Pelodiscus sinensis: one gene and its partners. The main gene of each other region encodes a partner of the protein of the gene in region 3 in a complex. Links are inferred from orthologs where the notes say so. Each region holds a gene or a part of one and is shown on either strand. Other genes may lie near its edges.

Evidence for each region. The genes of interacting proteins can lie anywhere in the genome.
Region 1: INTS6 (region 3) and INTS4 share a complex: the UniProt entries of both Homo sapiens proteins name them as parts of the integrator complex. The link is inferred for Pelodiscus sinensis from reciprocal best matches to the Homo sapiens genes INTS6 and INTS4.
Region 2: INTS6 (region 3) and INTS9 share a complex: the UniProt entries of both Homo sapiens proteins name them as parts of the integrator complex. The link is inferred for Pelodiscus sinensis from reciprocal best matches to the Homo sapiens genes INTS6 and INTS9.

Annotation. Positions count from the first base shown.
Region 1 is NC_134711.1:316,726,651-316,733,712, reverse strand, and holds the start of INTS4 (integrator complex subunit 4), read right to left. Parts: upstream 3,002-7,062; 5' UTR 2,623-3,001; coding exon 2,569-2,622; intron 1,898-2,568; coding exon 1,700-1,897; intron 1-1,699. UniProt on the Homo sapiens protein: Component of the integrator complex, a multiprotein complex that terminates RNA polymerase II (Pol II) transcription in the promoter-proximal region of genes.
Region 2 is NC_134713.1:4,737,454-4,744,309, reverse strand, and holds the start of INTS9 (integrator complex subunit 9), read right to left. Parts: upstream 3,002-6,856; 5' UTR 2,903-3,001; coding exon 2,852-2,902; intron 2,850-2,851; exon of another isoform or gene 2,827-2,849; intron 2,804-2,826; exon of another isoform or gene 2,779-2,803; intron 1-2,778. UniProt on the Homo sapiens protein: Component of the integrator complex, a multiprotein complex that terminates RNA polymerase II (Pol II) transcription in the promoter-proximal region of genes.
Region 3 is NC_134711.1:291,278,766-291,285,975, reverse strand, and holds the start of INTS6 (integrator complex subunit 6), read left to right. Parts: upstream 1-4,190; 5' UTR 4,191-4,632; coding exon 4,633-4,743; intron 4,744-4,920; coding exon 4,921-4,998; intron 4,999-5,104; exon of another isoform or gene 5,105-5,140; coding exon of another isoform or gene 5,141-5,230; intron 5,231-5,714; coding exon 5,715-5,864; intron 5,865-7,210. UniProt on the Homo sapiens protein: Component of the integrator complex, a multiprotein complex that terminates RNA polymerase II (Pol II) transcription in the promoter-proximal region of genes.

The DNA.
Region 1 (7,062 bases), about 25 Mb from region 3:
CCCACCTCCTCTTTGCCAGTACATTTTTTAGCAGGCTGACCAGAAGCCCAACTCAGTCCTTGCTCACGCCAGGTCCAGAACCTATCCCTGCTGTGGCTCTGCATTTAAAGTGTGTTAGGAGCCAGGCGGGCGGGCAGCCTGGCTCAGTTTCGACTTGTGCAGGGTTTGGGAGGTTAGCCCCACCCTCCCCCCCCGACAGCACAGAGTGGCAGGGGTTCCTCGGGAGTGGGGCTAGAGCGCACTGGCTGCCGGCCTCATCCCTGGGAACTATAGAACAGTCTATCAACCAATAAATATTTATGAGGTTAATCGACTTTTCAATGTTCCGATATTTAACAGCCCTAGTCTCGCTCATGCCGGGACCCAGCATCAACCCCTGCTGCAGCTCTGCCTTACGAGTGCTTGTAGTGCAGAACCAAAGCAGGAGTAGTTGCCAGACCCAGCTCAAGCTGGGACTGAGTGGTAACAGTGCTAACCCTTATTGAGTAATCATGTAGTCAACAAAATTATGTCGACTACACAATTAACGAATTACATGCTTAACATCCCTAAGTAGTAGAGTAGTTTTTGAACTAAGAGCTGTGGGCAAGTCAACAGATGCAGAGGAACACACAGTTTAGACAACCATATCACTTAAGGGAGGATTAAAGAGGATACTCCGTGGTTTCCAACCAGTTCTGAAACTAGCCACACTCAACAGGCCAAATAGCCATATGTGGCTAGCGTGTTGGGCACCCTAGCTCTATAGCCTAGTAAGGAGAAGAGAATAGAAGTTGATAAAAGTACAGATAGGAATTGAAGAGTAAGTCAAACAAAAAGGAGTCCCATTCAATTACATAACCTGAAGGCAGACAACTACATATTAACAGATTTTGTAACTGCTTGTATACAAACGCAAGAAGTTCAAATACTAAGATAGGTGAACTTGAGGTTGTCGCTGTAATAAGAAATAAGAATGGCCAGGTTTGGGAATCTCCCTAATATCCTCAGTTGTGAAGATTGAAGCAAAGAATTAATTTAGTTTCTCCGCAATGACCTTATCGTCTTTGAGTGCTCCTTTAGCATCTTGATCGTCCAATGGCCCCATTGGATGTTTAGCAGGCTTCCAGATTCTGATGTATTTTAACATTTTACTATTACTTTTTAGGCTTTGGCTTGCTGTTCTTCAAACTCTTTTTTGGCTTTTTTAAATTATATTTTTACACTTACTTTGACAGAGTGTATGCTCTTTTCTATGTTCCTCACTAGGATTTAACTTCCACTTTTTAAACAATGCCTTTTTATCTCTTGCTGCTTCTTTTACGTGGTTGTTAAGCCACGGTGCACTTTTTAACTTCACTTTTAATAAGCATCATAGAATCAATAATAAGCATGATGAGAATCAATGGGCCACTAGAATTGGGAGAGCTCTGAAGTTCATCACCCTTTTCTACATTTTAGACTCCAAGTGGTTACTTCAAAGCCCTATTTATACAGCTACTTTTAGGGCATTAGTAGGAGACTAACCCAACTCTGTCAATCAGGCTTGGGGAGGTTCACTCCAAAACCCAACATCACTTTAGAACCTTCACATTCTGTTACCAACACTTGAGCATCTCTCCAACAAGAGCCATGTCAGGAAATAGAACTATACAAAAGTCCCACTATTTCTTGCAGCTCTAAGTCCCATGAAAGTTGCTCCTGAGGCTATTTCCCCTACCTTGTAATAATGCTCTAGCAAGATTCTGACAACTCCTTCCACGCTTTCCGCCTCCACTGGTTTCCTGGCAAACTGAAGCAGGTATTGCAGAGCATCTGCCGGCGAAGTAGCCTTACACAGATCGACATGGAGTGCTGCCGACTTACTGGGCTTGGTCAGCCGCAGCTTCTTTGCAGAGATCTCCTCATGCTGCTGCTGCTGGGCAAAGCCACAGAGTGAGGCAAGACCTCAGAACAGAGGGAAGCAGGGGAGCCTGGGCTCCTAGCAACTAGCTCCAGCCTGTGCATGGTTTTACCAGCACAGCCACTACTGGGGGGGGGGGGGGGTAGGCATTCCCTCCATGCCCCTGGGCTCTCTGCCCTCTAACGCCCCCACCCACCCACTTCACAGGGGACCCCTTGGCTCTCTAGCCCCCCCCCCCCGACTTCACGGGGATCTCATGGCTCTCTAGCCCCCCCCCCCCCCCGGGGACCCTGCCCTCACTTGCAGGGAACCTCTTGGGCCCCTAGCCCCCCCAGGGGACCCCGCCCAAATTCACAGGGGACCCCTTGGGCCCCTAGCCCCCCCAGGGGACCCCGCCCCCACTTTGCAGGGGACCCCTTGGGCCCCTAGCCCCCCCCGGGGGGCCCCGCCCCCATTTCGCGGGGGACCCCGGGTTGGCTGGCAGCTTCGCGGCTCCCCGGCGCTCCAGAAGAGGAGCAGCCGCCTGCGGGTCCCGAGGCATTTCAGTGCCAGGCCTCAGGCTTCCAGCGGGTTTTCCTGAAACGTCAGGCCGCCCAGGAGTCGCCTTCCCGGGCAGGGGCCGAGCCCCTCTCCCGGGGACGGGGGTGAGGCTTCCCCAAGCCGCCCTCACGTGCTTCGCGGATTACCTGGACGACCTTAGTGAACTCCTCATACACCCGCTTCTTCAGGTGCGCCGCCATGCCGAGGCCCGCCACCGCCGCCGTTCGCCTTCAGCAGGGCGCGAGCCCTCGCAGCCACCGTACCTTCTTCCTTCTCCTCCCCTCCACCACCGCACCCGGAAATGAAACCATAGAGATGCTGGCGATGATGGGAAGATAAACTGTCCTTGCTAGACAGGCGGAGGTCTCCTCTCTATGGCCAGTGAGTCCCTGGCTAGGGAGAAAGAGGCCTGCGAGGCTGGAGCGCCCGTCGCTGGGCTTCTGTCAATCAAGGGGTGGTGCCCGCAGTGGGAGTGCTCAGCGCTAGGAAAGCCACCTTGCTGGTGGGAGGGTCCCTGATCCCTGTGCTGAAGCGCTGGGCTGGGAACCAGGAGTCACTCCCCAGCAAAGAGCCAGCGTGGCCAGCTGCATGTCCCACACGTGGCCAGCATGTGGTCAGCTGCATGTCCCACACGTGGCCAGCATGTGGTCAGCTGCATGTCCCACACGTGGCCAGCATGTGGTCAGCTGCATGTCCCACACGTGGCCAGGTGTGTTTCACACTCCTGGCCAACCGCAGAAGAGTGAGCCCTGGGAACAACAAAGTGAGCCCTGGGAACAGCAGGGCTGAATCAGCAGGGGCTGGAGGAGCAGTGACCCCCGCTCAGCGAAGGGAATCATACAAGCCGCCCTTCAATTTCTAGACTCTTCGGTGGATCTGTTTTAATAAGTGGCTTCCACGGGCCCCTGGCTGTGGTGCGGATCAGGATCCTATGCTAGGTTCTCAGCTGGGGCAAATCAGCACAGCTCAGGCTCAACATTTTTAATTTCCTGAAAGATTTTTTTTAATTCATTGCGTCTTCTTTTGCCCCACGCAAATCGATTTCTGTATCTACATGTTTAATGTACAGGATGTTGCATATCTGTCAGTAACAAATGTACTCCCGTGATAATCCGAATTGTTATTTCCTCCCAGGCACGTAGAGCGAGGTCATTTCCTCAGGCTGTTGCCTGAGAGGAATGACAACACAGAGTCATAGATTCCCGAAAGGCCCATTGTGAACATCTAGTCTGACCTCAAGCCCATATGCAAGGATTTTTGTGGAGGGATGCTTCTTATGTAAATGTGGACCACGATTTTTTTTTAATGTAAAGGAGTTCAGAATAGTTATGCAATGAGTGTGCACAAAAGAGGTTAATGATAAATTTGAGTGGAAACAGTGATTGGTAAAATGATTTTGTTATACTAAAAAATTATACAGCAATAAAGGCTTTACAGAAATTACCTTCTGGGATCATGGCGGGCAGTCTGGCCACCATGGCCCCCTGCTCCCTTGGCCACCACTGCCTGCTGCTGCTCTACCTGTTTGTTGAGGCCAGGGTTAGGTTGAGAGCAGGTGAGGCATCCGGCCAGCAGGGCCAGGCTCAGGCTGCTCCTTGCAGGTGGGGGGGGCGCTATTCCCCCAGCCCTATTGCACTACCACCAGCTTTGCCTACCCACCCCCCAACACAGCACTCTCCCATCCACTTAACACAGTGGTTCTCAAACTTTTTGGCCTGTGGACCACCTGGTTCAATGCAAACCTTTCCATGAATCATCAGTTGCTAATGGAAACTCACTGTTAATTACATAATTACACCCAAGCCATTTTGCTAGTGCTGCAGGACCAGGGTAGGGGGCGGGTGTCTGGCCAGGGGGAGGGTGCAGGAGCAAGGGAGGATGCAGGAGCAGGCTTGGGGGTAGGGTGTCTGGCCATGAGGGAGGGTGCAGGAGCAGGGGGTGGTGGTGGTGTGTGAGGGGGCTGGGCATGAAGGGGTGGGGGGGCACTTATTTGCCTTTCTGCCCCATACTAATCCCAGGCACTGCCTCCCGCTGCTCTCATTGGCTGGATTCTGTTGGAGCACCAGCTCCAGCTTCCCAGTGAGGGGGTGGGAGAGAGAAAGACCTGAGCCGCACTACGTGATCCAGCTTGTGGGAAAGGAGCACTTCTCTTCCCCTTTCCCTTCCCACAGCTGTGGGAACAGCAGCAAGCCTGCGCACTGCTGTTCCCCCAGCCAGGAGAGGGGAAGGGGGAGCCCTTTTTCCCTGCAAGTCAGATCATGTAGTGAGGCTCTGGGGTTTCTCCCCTCCCCACCAGTAGGAAGCTAATGCTAGTGCACCAACCGCATGGGGGGATGTGGGAGGGTGAGGCTACTGTGCCCGTGTGGGCTCCCCACTGCACTAGTAGGAGGGGAGCTGAGATCGAGCTGCAGACCACCAGGAAGGCGGCTGAGGAGCCCCCTCATGCTGACTTGGGTGGTCAGGGAGGTGCATTTGCACCTTCGCATCTCTCCCTGTGTGCATGCCTAGACCTCCTATACAACACAGAGTATAGGACTCCCCATAATTCCTGTTTGAACAAGAGCAGATTTTTTAGAATAACATTCTATTTTGATTTTAAATTGCCCATCCTGGAGGATCCACCACAACCTTTGACAAATTATTCCAATAGATTATGTTCACAGTTAAAAATGTATGACTTTCTTTGTCTGTGGGAAGAGTACCTCAGTTCAGTGATACAGACGGGAAATTCATTCCTGTTATTATTCTCAGTAACATGTTTTAATAAATACCTCTGTAATCCACAGACCTAGGGTGGTTCACTGTCCCACGTAGTGGCACTTAGACAAGGGAGCTCTACAGCCTAAGCTGAGAGCCAGCTGGCTTTATATTTCAAGCTGTAGAGGCTCCTACACTCAGGGGCTACGTCTACATTGGCCCCTATTATGGAATAGGCATGCAAATGTAGCACTTTGGAAAAGGCAAATCCGCAGGGGATTTAAATATCCCCCGCGGCATTTGCATTTTCATGGCCGCCGCTTTTTTCCGGCTTGGAGATAAGCCAGAGAAAAGCATCCAGATTGGCGCGATCCACCGGAATAAAGCCCTATTCCGGAGGATCTCTTATTCCTACTTGCAAGGGCTTTATTCCGGAGGATCGCGCCAGTCTGGACGCTTTTCTCCGGCTTATCTCCAAGCCGGAAAAAAGCGGCGGCCATGAAAATGCAAATGCCGCGGGGGATATTTAAATCCCCCGTGGATTTGCCTTTTCCAAAGTGCTACATTTGCATGCCTATTCCGTAATACGCAGTCAGTGTAGACACAGCCAGGCTGTGTCTACACTAGCGCAATGTTGCGCAAAAACTTGCTGCCTGTCTACACTGTCCGCGTGTTCTTGCTCAAGTAAACTGACGTTCTAACGTATGAAATCAGGGCTTCTTGTGCCAGAGTTCTGACGCTCCCCCTCAGGAATAAGCCCTTTTGCGCAACTGTTATTGCGCAAGAGGCCAGTGTAGACAGGCAACATGAATTTCTTGTGCAAGAAAGCCCTGTGGTTAAAATGGCCATCAGAGCTTTCTTGCGCAAGAGAGTGTCTACACTGGCATGGATGCTCTTGCGCAAAAGCACATGCTAGTGTAGATGCTCTCTTCTGGAAGAGTTTTTGCACAAGAACTCTTCCGCAAAAGAGTTCTTGCACAAGAAGCTGCCAGTGTAGACATAGCCTAAGTGATCCCAGGTTCAAATTTGCCTGATGGTGGTTACACCTCCACATGTGCTCTGAAAGTAGCCAGAAGGAGCCCTTAAAAATGTTAGCTTCTATATAAAAGACTGTTTTGCTTCATGCCAAGACTAGTTTCACTGATTTCTTTACAAGTATATAATATGCTTTTCAAATTCTAGGATACCAGTCTAGGAAACTTACTATTATACTGTGACAAGAGAATTTTTATCTTTAATTGTGTTTCATAAGTATTTGATATAGATTAGGTAAATAAAGGTGAAACATATTTGTTTGCTGTGTCCTGGTCTTGCCCATCTGTCAAGGTTCATGCAATACTTAGACATGCTTGATAAAATATTTATCTACCTGGTGTTTACCCCCTTTTTAATGGAAAGATTTGAAGTTATATAAGTTATATAATAGTGACCCAAATGTTTCAGAAAAATTCTATTGTGGTGTAACATGTGGCATGAAATACTTCATGGGGATGTGTTTGGTTTTGCTGAAGTTAGGAAGAGGTGGAAAAATCAAACAAGTTGGAAGCTGTCTTTAAAGTTAACTATAGCCTTTGTGAACTAAAATGTAATCAAGATTTCATGTCCCGTGTCTCCAAAAGAAATAGGGGTCAGAGACTAGTTCTGCATTTGGGTATGGATTCTGACCCAACAAAGTTTGGTGATGTTCAGAGCTGATTCAAGCACATCTCTCTTTTTGAAGACCTTAGATTCCTATGCTACACACAAATACAGACTATATCAGGCCAAAGTAATTCCTGTGTAAACCCACTGAAATCAGTACAGTTGCATCAGCATTATGAGATTTTGGCCTATCATATCTAGAAATAAAAACATTTTTCAGGGAAGAAAGTTAACTGGAGATGTTAGATATCACGTAATTGAACAGTCATGTAACCACATGAAATCTTAGTGGTTACACAACT
Region 2 (6,856 bases), on a different chromosome or scaffold from region 3:
ATTTCTCTTGACTACATGGAATTCCCCCCCTTTTTTTCTTTTATGACTTAACTCAGTGTCCTGTATGATGTTAAAATAATGTAAGTTGTAGTATATTAACCTTTTCAATTTATTTCAACAAGATCATAAATTATTATTGCTTAAAGCTCATTAAAAACAGACCAGCAACATATCCCAAATATTGTGTTCTTGGGCTTGTCCAACTGGAAGGTCCAGTTTGCTATTTATTTTTTCTTCAGTTCTCTAAAAATGCAATTACACCCATCCAAAGCTCTTGGTATCTGTCCCATTAATTAAAGATCATAACACATGAACCACAGTTTGTCCACAAATATATCCACCTATGACCTCTTCAACAACCTTAGAGAAGAGAGAAAGAGAAAGGCTTTGAAAAGTATGTGGAAAATTAACACATCTGGGATTTGGCAGATCAAAGCAAGCAGCAAGCTCCAAATCAACAGACTCCTCACAGAGAATGCTCCACCATTTTATTTATGTTGAGTATGAGTGACTCTGCTGACTTGACATGTGGCAGTTTGGCAAGGGAGAGAGACAATCGTGCAGGGAACAAGGCCTCAAGCCATTCAGAGACTTATAGATTAAAATCCAACACTTCAAGTTTTATCCATAAACCAGTGCAGATTGTGCACCAGTGCTCTAAAGTTATGGATCTAAGCTAGTTATAGGCAGTATATATACAATGGAGTTTGCTGTTGGATTTGCCTTTATAATGGTCAGCAGCAGCAGCAAGAGCCTGAATAAAAGCCCATCAAAATCAGAGGTCATCATTCCATTGTCTTCACTGGGCTTTTGAGCAGGTGTCCATTGCTTAGGACTGGTGTGGATTTATTTTTGTCTTGTTCTTCCATATTTAAAACAAATACATGAGGGTCCAGGATGAAATTGCCAAAAAACCTGAATATCCCTTGTGACCTAAGACAAAAACCCAAGAAAAAAGAGCTACATAAGGACAGACAGGGTCAGGCCAAAGGTCCATCTATCCCAGTATCCTGTCTTCTGACAGTGGCCAATGCCAGGTGCCCCAGAGGGAATGGACAGAACAAGTAATAATCAAGGTATCTATACCCTGTTGTTCATTCCCATTTTCCAACAGAGGTTAGGGACACCATTCCTGCTCATCCTGACTAATAACCACTGATGGACCTGTCCTCCACGAATTAATCTAGCTCTTTTTTGAACTCTGTTATGGTCCTCCTCCGGCAAAGAGTTCCACAGGTTGACTGCGCATTGTGTGAAGAAATATTTCCTTTTTATTTGCTTTAAACCTGCTGCCTATTAACTTCATTTGGTCATGCCTAGCTCTTGTGTTATGAAGAGTAAATAGCACTTTCTTATTCGCTTTCTCCATATAAGTCATGATTTTATAGACCTGAATCATATAAACACTTTGTCAAAGGGTGTTGTGAAGGCTATTAGCCAGGATGAGGTCCCTAGCAACTGTTTGTCATAAGCCCCATGGGCAACTGGGAATGGATAACTTGGTTATTCCCTGTTCGGTTCATTTCCTCTATGGTGTCTAGCATTGGCCACTGTCGGAAGACAGGCTACTGTGCTAGATGGAGCTTTGGTCTAGTCTAATATCTGTTTTTATGTAAAAGTCTGCAGGTTTGGTACCTTCATCTACCTCTCCATAAATTCATTTTACAGTGATAAATTAAGCCACAGTGAAGGTAAGTGATTTTCTCCTAGTCACAAAACAAGCCAGAGATGGAGTCAGAACCCACAGGAGTTGCACCCCACAAGTCTGTGTCGTATTATAATACACACTTTGCCTGTGGGAAACTACGGTCATCTGAAGAAGTGGGTTGTGCCCACGAAAGCTCATGATACCATCTACATGTTTTCTTAGTCTATGGCTACATCTAGACTGGCATGATTTTCCACAAATGCTTTTAACGGAAAAGTTTTTCCGTGAAAAGCATTTACGGAAAAGAGCGTCTAGATTGGCACGGACGCTTTTGTGCCAAAGCACTTTTTGCGGAAAAGCATCCATGCCAATCTAGACGCGGTTTCGTGCAAGAAAGCCCCGATCGCCATTTTCGCCATCGGGGCTTTTTTGCACAAAACGATTCTCAGTTGTCTACACTGGCCCTCTTGCACAAAAGCATTTGCGCAAGAGGGTTTTTTCCCCGAATGGGAGCAGCATTGTATTTGCGCAAGAACTCTGACGATCATACCTTAGATCGTCAGTTTTCTTGCGCAAATTCAAGTGGCCAGTGTAGACAGCTGGCAAGTTTTTCCACAAAAGCAATTGCTTTTGCGGAAAAACTTGCCAGTCTAGACGTAGCCTATATGTTTTTCTATATGTTTTGTTAGTCTATAAAGTGCTACCAAACCATTTGTTGTTTTTAAGTTGATCCTGTACAGACGAACTTGGCGACCCCCCTAAGCTTCTGTTTTTCAAAGTAAGCCAAAGTCATCCACCTGTAAAGACTGTATCGCTCCAAGTTAAAAAAAACCCTCAGAATCTGGGTTCACCCATCCTGGGAGTGGCTTAGGGTCTCCAACTTTCAGACGAGGAGCAGCAGCATCTGATGATTTTCAGTGTGGGCCCCCCGACACACACACCCACCCCCCACCTACCCACACACCCACCCCCCTCCTACCTACACACACCCCCTACACACCCCCCCTACCCACACACCCACCCCCCTCCTACCTACACACACCCCCTACACACCCCCCCTACCCACACACACACCCCCACCCTCCCTACCTACACCCCCACCCCCCCCTACCTACACACACCCTACCTACCTCTCGGCAACACCCCCCCTCAAAAGCGTCCCCTTCTCTACCACCAACCCCTTCCTGCCCCTCAGCTTCTCACGTGGAGCCTCGCCGCGCCCGGGCCAGGGGCTGCTCCAGCCCCGCCCACCATGGTCAGGGGGCGCGCCGGCCCGGCCAGAGGAGCCCCGCCCGCAGGAGGACGGTTAACCGGTTAACCGTCGCATCTGAACGGTTGACGTTTGAAACGGGGCTCTACCTCCCGGAGCGCGTGGCCGGCTCCTTGACCCCCGCGCGGCAGGGCCTGGCCCAGTGGGCCCCAAGCCCCCGTCACAGTTGGGGCCTTTGGAGCCTCGCCTCACATACAGAGCACGACGCGCCGCCCCGGGGCCTGCCCCCGCTAAGTGCCTCAGTTTCCCCAGCGGTGGGGGGAGGGCGACCCCACGCTCCACCAAGGCTGAGCCCCCCCTCAAGCTCAGTAGACTCTCTAGGGCCTACTGCGTAGCCATGGCAACCAGGCCTGGCCTGAAGCCCAGAGGCAGGACCCGCCCCCATGCCCGGGACGGGAGCGAGGGGGGACCCTTCAGCCCAGCCCCCCCAAACAGACACTAGCTCCACAGACTCACCAGCTTCATGCTTTACCCGGCCGGCGCTATTTACTGTGACCATCCGCCCCTTTTCCTGCCCAGCCTCCCCCGCGCAGAGCATCATGGGACTCGTAGTCCTCTTGCCGCCGCCCGCCCCTGCCCAGGATGAAGTCATGCCCTGCCACCCCTTCCCCAGGTGCATCCTGGGAGTTGTAGTCCCTTCCTCTCCCCAGCCCCTCTCTCCGTCGGCGCGCCGTTCCGGAAGGGCACGCTGGGAGTTGTAGTCCTCCTGCCTCGGCTCTCCCCTTCACCCAGGGGAGGGGGGAACTACAAGTCCCAGGGCTGCGCAGCGGCGGCAGGTGGGAGCTCGGATGTTGATATCAACATGGCGCTTGCCAGACAGACAAAGACAGTCAGTCTGGTGTGATTGAGCCAAAAAAAAAAAAAAAAAAAAAAAAAAGGAGCAGGGGGGAGGGGGGATTTTCTCTTGGGGGGGGGCCGGAGAGGGGGGATTGGACGCGGAAGGATTTTCACCCCCATTGCTCCCCTCCCTCTGCACCCCCGTTATTGCCCCCCTCACACTGGGGCTGGGGATCCCCCACTTGCGCTCTTCCATGGTGAGGTGGAGAAGGGACCAGCGTCCAGAGGTGAGTGTTGCTGGGCGTGGGGGACCGAGCTGCTTTGGGAGGGGCATGGGAAGGGTCCCCTGAGCTTGAGCTGGGCCTGGCTGGGGGAGTTTAACCCTGGGATGGGGGGGAGCTTCCTTGAGCCCCTGGAGCACAGGCTGCGTGAGGCGGATTTGGGGGTGGCAGGTCCCCTTGCCCTGTGCTGGGTTTGGCGTTGGTGGAGGGGGAGATCCCCTTAGCCTGTGCACATTTTGCTGGGAGAGTTCAGTAGAAGGGATCTGGGTGGCTCCTTGTATCCTTGAAGTGGGGGCAGGGAGGTGTCTCCTAGGCAGGCTTGTTTTTTTGTTGTTTTTTTTTTTTGCTGGGGGAGTTCAACACTGTGGTTCGGTGGCCGTTTTCTTGCTTTCTTTGAAATACAGGCTGCGAGTGAGGTTGATTTTTTGGGGCGAGGAGGGGTAGATGGGTGGGAAAGGGACAGAATCCTTTTAGGTTGGGTTTTGCTGAGGAGTGTACTGCTGGGATGGAAAAGGCTGGTGGCTCCATGTGCGCTAGAAGCACACGATTGTGGGAGAGCAATGGTGTGTTTGGGAAGTGGGACTTGCACCAGGTTAGACTTGCTTCTGGTGGACTTTTTAGGGTTGGTCCTGCTTTGGGCAGGGGACTGGAATTGATGACCTCCTTAGGACTCTTCCAGCCCTGTGAGTCTATGATGGGTGGTGTCTGAAATTTGTGTGACTATGCACATTGCCTGAAATAGGGGACAGGTAAAGGGAAAGAGGACAGGGACAGATTCTGTTGCTGCTTGCAGGGTGTGTTGGGCTATTCTGCAGGCTGTTGTAGTTTTGCAGGGAGTTGAACACAGGACTAGGTGGGTGGGGTGAATTAGGAAAGAAGGAAGGCACCTTGCCCACTGTTGGGACATTATGGTGATGAGTGCACTATTAATACCTAGATTCTATTCTTGAGACACACAATGTGTGTGGCATGACTGACTTAAGGTGAAAGAAGAGGAGGTTGGTGTTTTTCGCGGAGGAATTTTATACTGGCCTATGAGGAGGACAGGGAGGGTACCTTTGAAACAAATAATATGCCTATGAAAGAACTTGGGAGAGGGAGGGTCCTTGTTAAGAGAAGAGACACTGTGTTGGTAGGGTCGGATGAGTGTGGGTGGATGTAGGGGGATGGCACAGTGCTTTTGTGGTTGTATGTCCAAGACACTAGTGATAGCTTACTACCAAAACAAATCTGCTTGATACAGAAGCAAGAGCATGCATCATGAGGAAGAGATAGGTGAGAATCCTAAGGGGATGTTGTAGCTGATGTGTTCAACACTGGAGGGCGGGGTGGGGGGGGATGGAGTGGACATAAGAGGGTGGCTCCTTGAATGTACGGGAGATGAGCATGGATGAGGTTTTTATTTTGGTTTTACTTTTAAAATGAGGCTCAGGTTTTGAGGTGGGGGGAAGGTGTTAAAATAATATTTATATTTTGTATCTGAGACATTGCTTTGAATGCCCGGAAAGTGCCTAAAAAGATGATGGCTGGAGAAGGTGGCAGAGAATTCTGTTAGGCTGTTACATTCTGTTTTTATTTTTTGCTTTGCTGTGGAGTTAAAAAATGAGCAGGATGGGTTTTTTTGAGGTGTAAGTATACATACAGCAAGGTGAACTGAGTTGGGCTCTTGCACCTCAGTTTTGGGTGGTGAGTTTTGGTGTATAGGAAGGAGTGGTTAAAAGTGCCTCTAAATGTGTCTGCAGGGTATTTTCTTTGGAAACAATTTTTGCATTAGCCCTGAAAAATCTTTTGATCATATGTTTATTTCCCCCTCCCCCTTCAAATAGGGGAAGGAAAGAGTGCCTTTTGGGGTTGGAGGGGAAGAGGAAGTATGAAACATATTCCCACTTCCCTGTCTGTGAAGTCCTATCGACTCAGTTTATTCTGGAGCTCAAGTAACACTGGCAACACAGAGAGAAGTGTCTTCAAGTGCTGAATGCATGTGGACTGAAAGTGGAGGATGTTAAATGTAATGGCCCAGGACATTGAGTTGGGAAAAGTAAGTCTGTTAGGTACTGGCTGTGTGCTCTTGGCTCAATAATCAGAGGGACTAGATAGATTGAACTCATAAAGGAGATGCAATTTGCATGAATGATGCCACCCGAAATAAAGTTGTGTTGTATAAACGGCTTGTGCTAGGCAGTCAGCTCATCTTGCTAAAATCCCGGAGCGCCTGTCTGGATCCCGTGATACCACTAGCTCATTTCTGCAGGGCTCATCAGGTGCAGAAGCCTCTCTGCTTCCTTCCTAGGATGGTGCAGCTGGCATCTGATTTCCTCTATGGATGGGAGAGGAGGAGTCCTGTGCGATTGTTTTTTTCCTTTGAGATGATTGCATTTTCCTTGGCCTCACTGTTCCCTGCCTCATTAGTAGAAACTGCATCTATATTTGTTTACCGCAGGCATGCCAATGGGGATGCCTGGAGTAGCGGATAGTGGGTCTATGTGAATTCATCACAATAACATGTTTATTTTTTCCCCTTCCATTGTTGTACAATTATCTTAGGGGACAGTTCTGCAACAGCAGGCTGTAAACTTCATTTGTTTGAGGTTTTTTGACCCTCCTTTGCTGCATTTCTGAGCTAAATCTTTAAGGAAATGATTGGGGACAGGCAGCACATTACATACACATGATTGGAACTTCTTTAGCTTCAGACAGACTTTGTCTTTGGTTATGAAAATTATTTGCCATCTCTCTGTTCTAGGAGTTCTGGAATCTCTGAGGTGGCAGGTTTATACTCCATCTGTCTATAAATTGATGTGCTGCTTGCATTTGGAAACACTGGACATTTTCTCTTATGCAAAGATTCTTCATCTTTAACTCCATATGACATGCACAGAC
Region 3 (7,210 bases):
AGAGTTGATACACTGAACAACTTTTTCACTGAAGGAAAGCAGTCAATGTTCTTTTCTTCTACAGCAAAATGCAGGACAATGTAGCACTTTAAAGACTAACAAGATGGTTTATTAGATGATGAGCTTTCGTGGGCCAGACCCACTTCCTCAGATCAAATAATGGAAGAAAGTAATTCCAGTTTCTGCAATAGCGACAAAATTTTATCTTTTATGGTGAAAATGTTCACATATCTTCCTTGCAGCGACAGATTAACTTCATTCATCTTGGTGAATGTATCTGCAAAGTACAGCAGCTAGGAGTAATTTGTCAGACAATCAGACAGTCAGCGTTTGTGTTCTACAAAGTAAACTAATACTTTGTGATGAAACTCAGAAAGTCTAACAAGCACTTTCCCTTGTGATAGCCACTTCACTTCTGTATGTTGAAGGAAAACTATGTGCTGCCCGCTTCTCTGCACAGAATTCAGAATAATTTGGATTGTAGTGGTCGAGTTTGTATATAATAATTTGCACTGTCTTTTCCAGAACATTTTAAAGAGGTACAAACATATTCTAATGGCAAGAACTTGTCGGTGAAGGACATAGTGACTGCTGGTGCTTAATTCGCGATACAACTCTGGCTGTGTCCCCAACTATTGCCCTGGTGCTGCCACTACACACATCAACACACTTTTCCCAACTAATTTCATTTCTTGTAATAAAGTTAATACAATAAAATATTTCTTCACCAGCCATATTTTTCTGCAAGGATTCACATATTTGCAAGTCCTTTACAGTGGTTTTATCAAACATATAGGCTGTGTCTAGATTGGCCAGTTTTTCCGCAAAATCAGCTGCTTTTGCGGAAAAACTTTCCAGCTGTCTACACTGGCCGCTTGAATTTCCGCAAGAACACTGACTATCTCATGTAAGATTGTCAGTGTTCTTGCGGAAATACTATGCTGCTCCCGTTTGGGCAAATCATTTGCGCAAGAGGGCCAGTGTAGACAGCACAGTACTGTTTTGCGCAAAAAAGCCCCTATAGCTAAAATGGCCATCGGGGCTCTATTGTGCAAAAGCGCATCTAGATTGGCACGGACGCTTTTCCGCAAAAAGTTCGTTTGCGGAAAAGCGTTCGTGCCAATCTAGACGCTCTTTTCCTAAAATGCTTTTAACGGAAAAACGTTTCCGGAAAATCATGCCAGTCTAGACGTAGCCCTGAAGTTTTAAACTGTTTTATTTTTGAGTGCAGAGTTTTTTGTACATCCTATTTTATTAGTTAGGAAGGGTAATTAATATGTGCAGACCAAGGTTCGGGTCTTAAAATTTTGTTTTGTATTATCCATTTGTTTCCATCACACTCTCGTTGCTAATAGAATCTCTATATTCTCTTAAATATACTTTTCTTTTAATGTAAGTGCTCACAAGTTCTGTGTGATTTTACAGCAATAGTGATTTAAGATAAAACTAGAAAACTGGGGTACATGGTTGCTTTGGAGCAGAGGATCTGAGCGGCTAATGTCAGAGGCCAGGTAACAGGGAAAATGATTCATAGGTATATTAATGGAGGAGGTGCTAGGTCTTGGATGGAGGCTGGCTGCAGAAAGGAGCTTGGAATAGGGGACTAAGGAGTAGGAGAGGGTGTGGGGTCTGAGAGGAAGACTAACTGTTAATAAGGTTGGGTGAAAGAGGGGATTATTACGCTGAGCAGGGGATTTTTGTGTAGAGTCCAGGAGTGCATATGGGAACAAGAAAGGATTCTGACCTGGAGGAGGGGGCTGGAGAGTCTAGGAGGAGATTGTGACCTGGGGCACAGTTGCAAAGGTTTGAGTTGTGTCCTAGATCAGGAGGGAGTTGTGACCTAAGGCAGGAAATTGGGATGCAGGTCTTGGAGGGGGCACTGGTGCAGGAGTGGTGGTACAGAGGGTTTTGGTTGTGACCTGGGACAGGTTGGAGGAGTGGGAGTAGGTGAAGTCAGGTGTAGGCTCTGGCCAGTAGATCCTTACCTTAGATAGCCAGCAGCCCAGCCGGACCCTGAGGCAGGCTTCATGCCTGCCACAGCCCGTACTGGCACAGACAAGAGGGCTACGTCTACACTGGCCCCTTTTCCGGAAGGGGCATGTAAATTTCATGAGTCGTAGTAGGGAAATGCGCGGGGGATTTAAATATCCCCCGCGGCATTTAAATAAAAATGTCCGCCGCTTTTTTCCGGCTTTTAAAAAAGCCGGAAAAGAGCGTCTACACTGGCCCCGATCCTCCGGAAAAAGTGCCCTTTTCCGGAGGCTCTTATTCCTACTTTGAAGTAGGAATAAGAGATCCTCCGGAATAGGGCTTTATTCCGGAGGATTGGGCCAGTCGAGACGCTTTTTTCCGGCTTTTCCCCAAGCCGGAAAAAAGCGGCGGACATCTTTATTTAAATCCCGCGGGGGATATTTAAATCCCCCGCGGATTTCCCTATTCTGAAGTTGAAAATTAGCATGCCCCTTTCGGAAAAGGGGCCCGTGTAGACGTAGCCATACTGCTTGCTACTGCCTGGTCAGTAGGAGCCGGATGCAGCCCATAGGGGACGGAGTCTGCCGGAGCTCACACATAGCAGCCAGCTTGCATAAGGCACCATGAAATATGAGGCAATTTGGTACCTCAAATGTCATGGTGCTCCATGTCTGTGGTTATGTGTCTTGCATATGGGTAGAGAAAGCCCAGGTCCAGACAAACTGTAAAACATAATCTGTGCCTAATTTATAATTAGGATGTTTCTGCTTGTGCAATATTCACACAATTGTTCATACATTAAAAACCTAACGAAACACATTGGTCTGTAAATAATCAATCTTCTGGTGTGCACAGTAGTGTAACTCACCATCAAGTGAAAGGGAGTGTCACAACTTTGTTTCTGTTGCCTCTGATCTTGTGGCCCTATTGCCTGGCTTGGCCACCTTGACGTCTTTAAACTAAAGAGAGGCAAAATCTTACTAGTTCTTGAAGTTCTTTGAGTGGGTCTTGAGTGATTTGTGAGGTGGAAGTCTTGTTTTTATTCGACAAGTTAGTGTCACATTTCAGATCCAAGTAGGGGAGCTGGAACTATTTTATAGTGGAGGTGCTGAAAGCAGAAACCATGCATTTGGTTACTATTACTTTAAGGGGGCGGGGGAAGAGTGCAGTACCCTCAGTTCCCCAGGATCCAACTAGAAGAAAAGTGCAGTACTTTTAAGGTCAAAACCACAGCACTCCAGGCATGCAAGGCTGTCTCAATGTGAGACCATCCGAACTCGTAGACTCCCCCGCTGAAGAGAAAGACAGTAGCGCCCCAGCCACTAAAATACGGGCCCCGCCGTCCTCACACAAGGCATCCGTCCTGATTATCCCCCTCCGCTTCTCTCCCAAAGACAAGCTGCAACGCCCCACGCCTAGCAATTGCCTCTCCCTCGCCGGAGAGGGGGGGAGGGGGAGTCGCCCCGCAAAGCCCCCGCCCTTGACCCACTCTCCTCCTGACGTGGAGCGCCACGCACCCCGCCTCCCGTGAGCCCCTGCAGACCCGGGCTGCGAGCGGGCGGGCGGGCAGGCGGCCTGGCCCCCACTGCAGCTCCCCCGAGGGCCCGCCGCCCGCTCCCTGTTCCGCCTCCCCCCTGTTCCCGCCCCTGCCGGGGACCGCCCGGAGCCCAGCGAGGCCGGCCCGCAGCCCCAGGGAGTCGCCGGGCGCCTGCGTTACGGAAGAGGAGCGGCGCGCAGGCAGCAGCAGGCGCCGCCCCGTGACTCACTCGCGGAGGGACCGAGCTGCTAGGCCAGCGCGCAGGAGACTCCTCGCCGGGGGAGCCCGCCCCCGCGTCCCCTCAGGCCCTGCCGCCTCCCGGGCCCGCTCCCCTCCCCCACCCCAGCGATAAGCGGCTCCCGCTACACCCCCGCCGCCCCGCTCGGGCCTCATCCCCGTAGCCGCTCCCGCGGCCGGGCCTCCGGCCCCCTCGCGGGCAGCTTCACAGGCCTGTCCGACGGCCGAATTACCTCACTAGCAACGCCCGCGCCCCTCCCCCACCCCGTCTCCCTCAGCGTTTTCCGATGGATCCCTTCCTCCCTTCCCAGAACGGGGCAGCTGGGGGCGACTATGTCATTGCAGCAGCACCCCCACCCGGTCGGAGCAGCAACGCGCATGCGCGCAGCTGGAACGCGTGCTCGTCAACCGCCTTCCCTTCAGTGGCTGGATCCGCCTCGTTCCCCTTTTCCCCGTGATTTAAATATGCTAATGAAGGGTCGTCGGGAGTCCAATGGCGGGGCAGGGAGGCCGTCACGTGGCCCGTGGACGTGCCTTTAGGGGGCGGCTCCCGACCTGCCCAGGCTGCCTTAAAAGCGGGCTGCGAGCGAGGAAGCGCCTCAGTCAGAGAGAGAAAGTGTCGGGGTGGGTGGGTCGCGGCTGCTCCGCCTGAAACTTCTGAGTAACATCAACAGGGGGGCCGGCGGCGGCAGCAGCAGCAGTGCAGCCCCCGTCCGCCTTTTCCTTATAAACCAGCCTGTGCAGGGTCCTCACACAAAGGCGAACGGGGCGCGGGGAGGCGTCTCTCCCCGTGCAGCGCACTCATAGCCCCCACTGCCCGCCCGCCCCCTCGTGTCTGACCCCCGCCCCTGTCCATGTAGCCGCCGGCCCCGCTGCTGCTTCGCACTATGCCCATCTTACTCTTCCTGATAGACACGTCCGCCTCCATGAACCAGCGCACCCATCTGGGCACCACCTATCTGGACATAGCCAAAGGCGCTGTAGAGACTTTTATGAAGGTACCGGCTCTGCCTGCGAGAGGCGGCGGCGAGAGAGGGGGTGGGTTGAGGTGGGGGGGGGGAGGTCGCCCTGCTGCCCGGGGTTGGGGGGTGCGGACCTGCGGAGGCCGGGCGGGGGCTCGCATGCGGGGCGCTGCTGCTGGCTCCCTCGGGTAACCCTGCGCTTTGTGCCCGCAGCTCCGCGCCCGGGACCCCGCCAGCAGAGGAGACAGGTACATGCTGGTCACTTTCGAGGAGCCTCCCCACGCGATCAAGGTAACCCCCGCGAATCGCCCTCCTCCCCCGGGCCGTCCGCCCGCCTCTCCCCTCCCCCGCGCTCCCGGCGGCGCGGCGCAGCGCAGCTCGCCCCGCACAGGCACACACAGGCTCTGGCAGCGGCGGCGGCGCTGACATCAACATGGCCGACATTTTTCCTGTGCGGTGTGCGAGCAGCAATGGACTGTGGGGGATATTGATTCAAGTTAGGAGAAGTGACAGCAACTCTAAGGCGAGTTCGGCGGCGAGGAGCGGTACCTGCTTAGGGCCGGGCAGCCTAGGCTGGGCGCTTCGCCCTTGTTGTGCGTGGAGACCCGGAGCCTCCACATGACACATCAGAAGGGAACCTGCTGTAGGTCATTGACCGGCCCCGGCCGCTGCCGTGGACCAGGCTCTGGTTATTTCAGTGATCCTCAATAAGTTATAACTTATAGGCTCACTCTTTGCACCTCAAACCGTGAAACCAAGCACCGATATTCTCCTGCGAGGGGGACGGCTGCGAGCTGGGGGGTGTGTGTGAGAGATGGTATATGAAGTCTTTAGAACAGAAGGGGTTCTTAGTTAAGGCTCTAAGATGAGTTGATAGTTTGTGGGGGTATTTTTTAACTTCATACATGAAAGAGAGGAAGAAACCATTTTTGTAATCTGTAACAGAAGGCTCTCCATGTATACTGCTATCATCTGAAAGATAAGCATTCTTGCCTTTCTCTTTGCAGGCTGGCTGGAAAGAAAACCATGCAACCTTTATGAATGAATTGAAAAACCTTCAAGCTGAGGGACTTACGACTCTTGGCCAGTCTCTAAGGACAGCTTTTGATTTATTAAACTTAAATAGATTAGTAACTGGCATAGACAACTATGGGCAGGTAGGTTGAATATGAATAGGTGTAAACACTTTTTTAAAAAACACTTTCAGAGACCACACATGATTAGTTGACCAAAATAATAGCCTCTGTGAAATATGAAGAGTAAAACATAACGGAAACTATTTTACAAATAAACAGTGCTGAGACAATTGGGAAACCCATAACTAGGATGTAGTTTTGCACCCAGTTTTAATTCATTTTTTATTTCATATCTGTTTAAAACTTCTTGAGTTTTTTAAAACACAAACACAAGCATTGATTTACATTTTTTTTCAGTTCACACGTGTACATTTTTGGTATATTATGTTCAAGATAATGAAACCTTATATTTCAGCACATTACCCAATCGCATGCAGTGGTCATAAATATATTTTCTCTTACGTGTAACATAGGTGGTACCCAATCAGTTGGGGGGACTTTGGGGGTTTAGCTTCTCGCTGAAGTACACTTATTGTTAGCCACTGTGGGGACCTAGCTATTAGGTTAACTGGAACAGAGGTTTAATCAAGTATTGGTTTATTAATTAATTAGACCACTGCTTCTGTCTTTGCATATTCCTGTATCATTCAATCTCTTTCCCTCATATTAAAGCCCTGAAAAGCTCTGGCTTCGCTGACAACTTGTACTGGAGCTGCCATCCTTCTGGCTCAGAAGGATTTGAACAGGACTTCTTTTGGAGCATGTCAACATTATATTTAATCAACAGTGTGGGTCACTGTAAAACAATAAGGCACTTACTTGCATTCTTCCTTGGGTTGAATATATATTTGGAAACACTCTCAGTTGCTCCTGGCCTGAAGAGTAAGAGACTTGGAATATGAATCCAGCTCGAGTTTTGCATAGTAGTGGAGAGCATTGCTAATGGGTACACATATTAAATGTATATTTTGCACTTACTTGCCCTATTAGCCTCACATTTCCCCTTTTTATTTTCTCCTGTGATGTAATGCCCTCTGAGAGGAAGAAAGGCTGCTGCTGTTTGTTTAAAAAATAAGTTGCTTCAACCAAATGCTCTGAGACTGAGCATATATCTGTGTTGCCATGTTCTGTTTGTGTAGGAGGAAAATTCTTATTTCCCATGTTTCACTATGTTGCACTGCCAAGTCACCCTAAACATGTTTTTAAATGCAATCTTGGTGACAAAATTTTGAAATATACTAATTTCACACGTAAAGCTAATCTTTTTAGTCTGTTTCCATGCATGGCCCTCTTATACACACACATGTATTCACCTGTTTTTCTGCTTTCCTTCGTTCCTGTTTGACTTAGGTCAGCCTTACAAAGTTTTCATGAAAACTTACCATCACAGATTCAAAAAAATCCAAACCCATAATCCATCCTTTGCC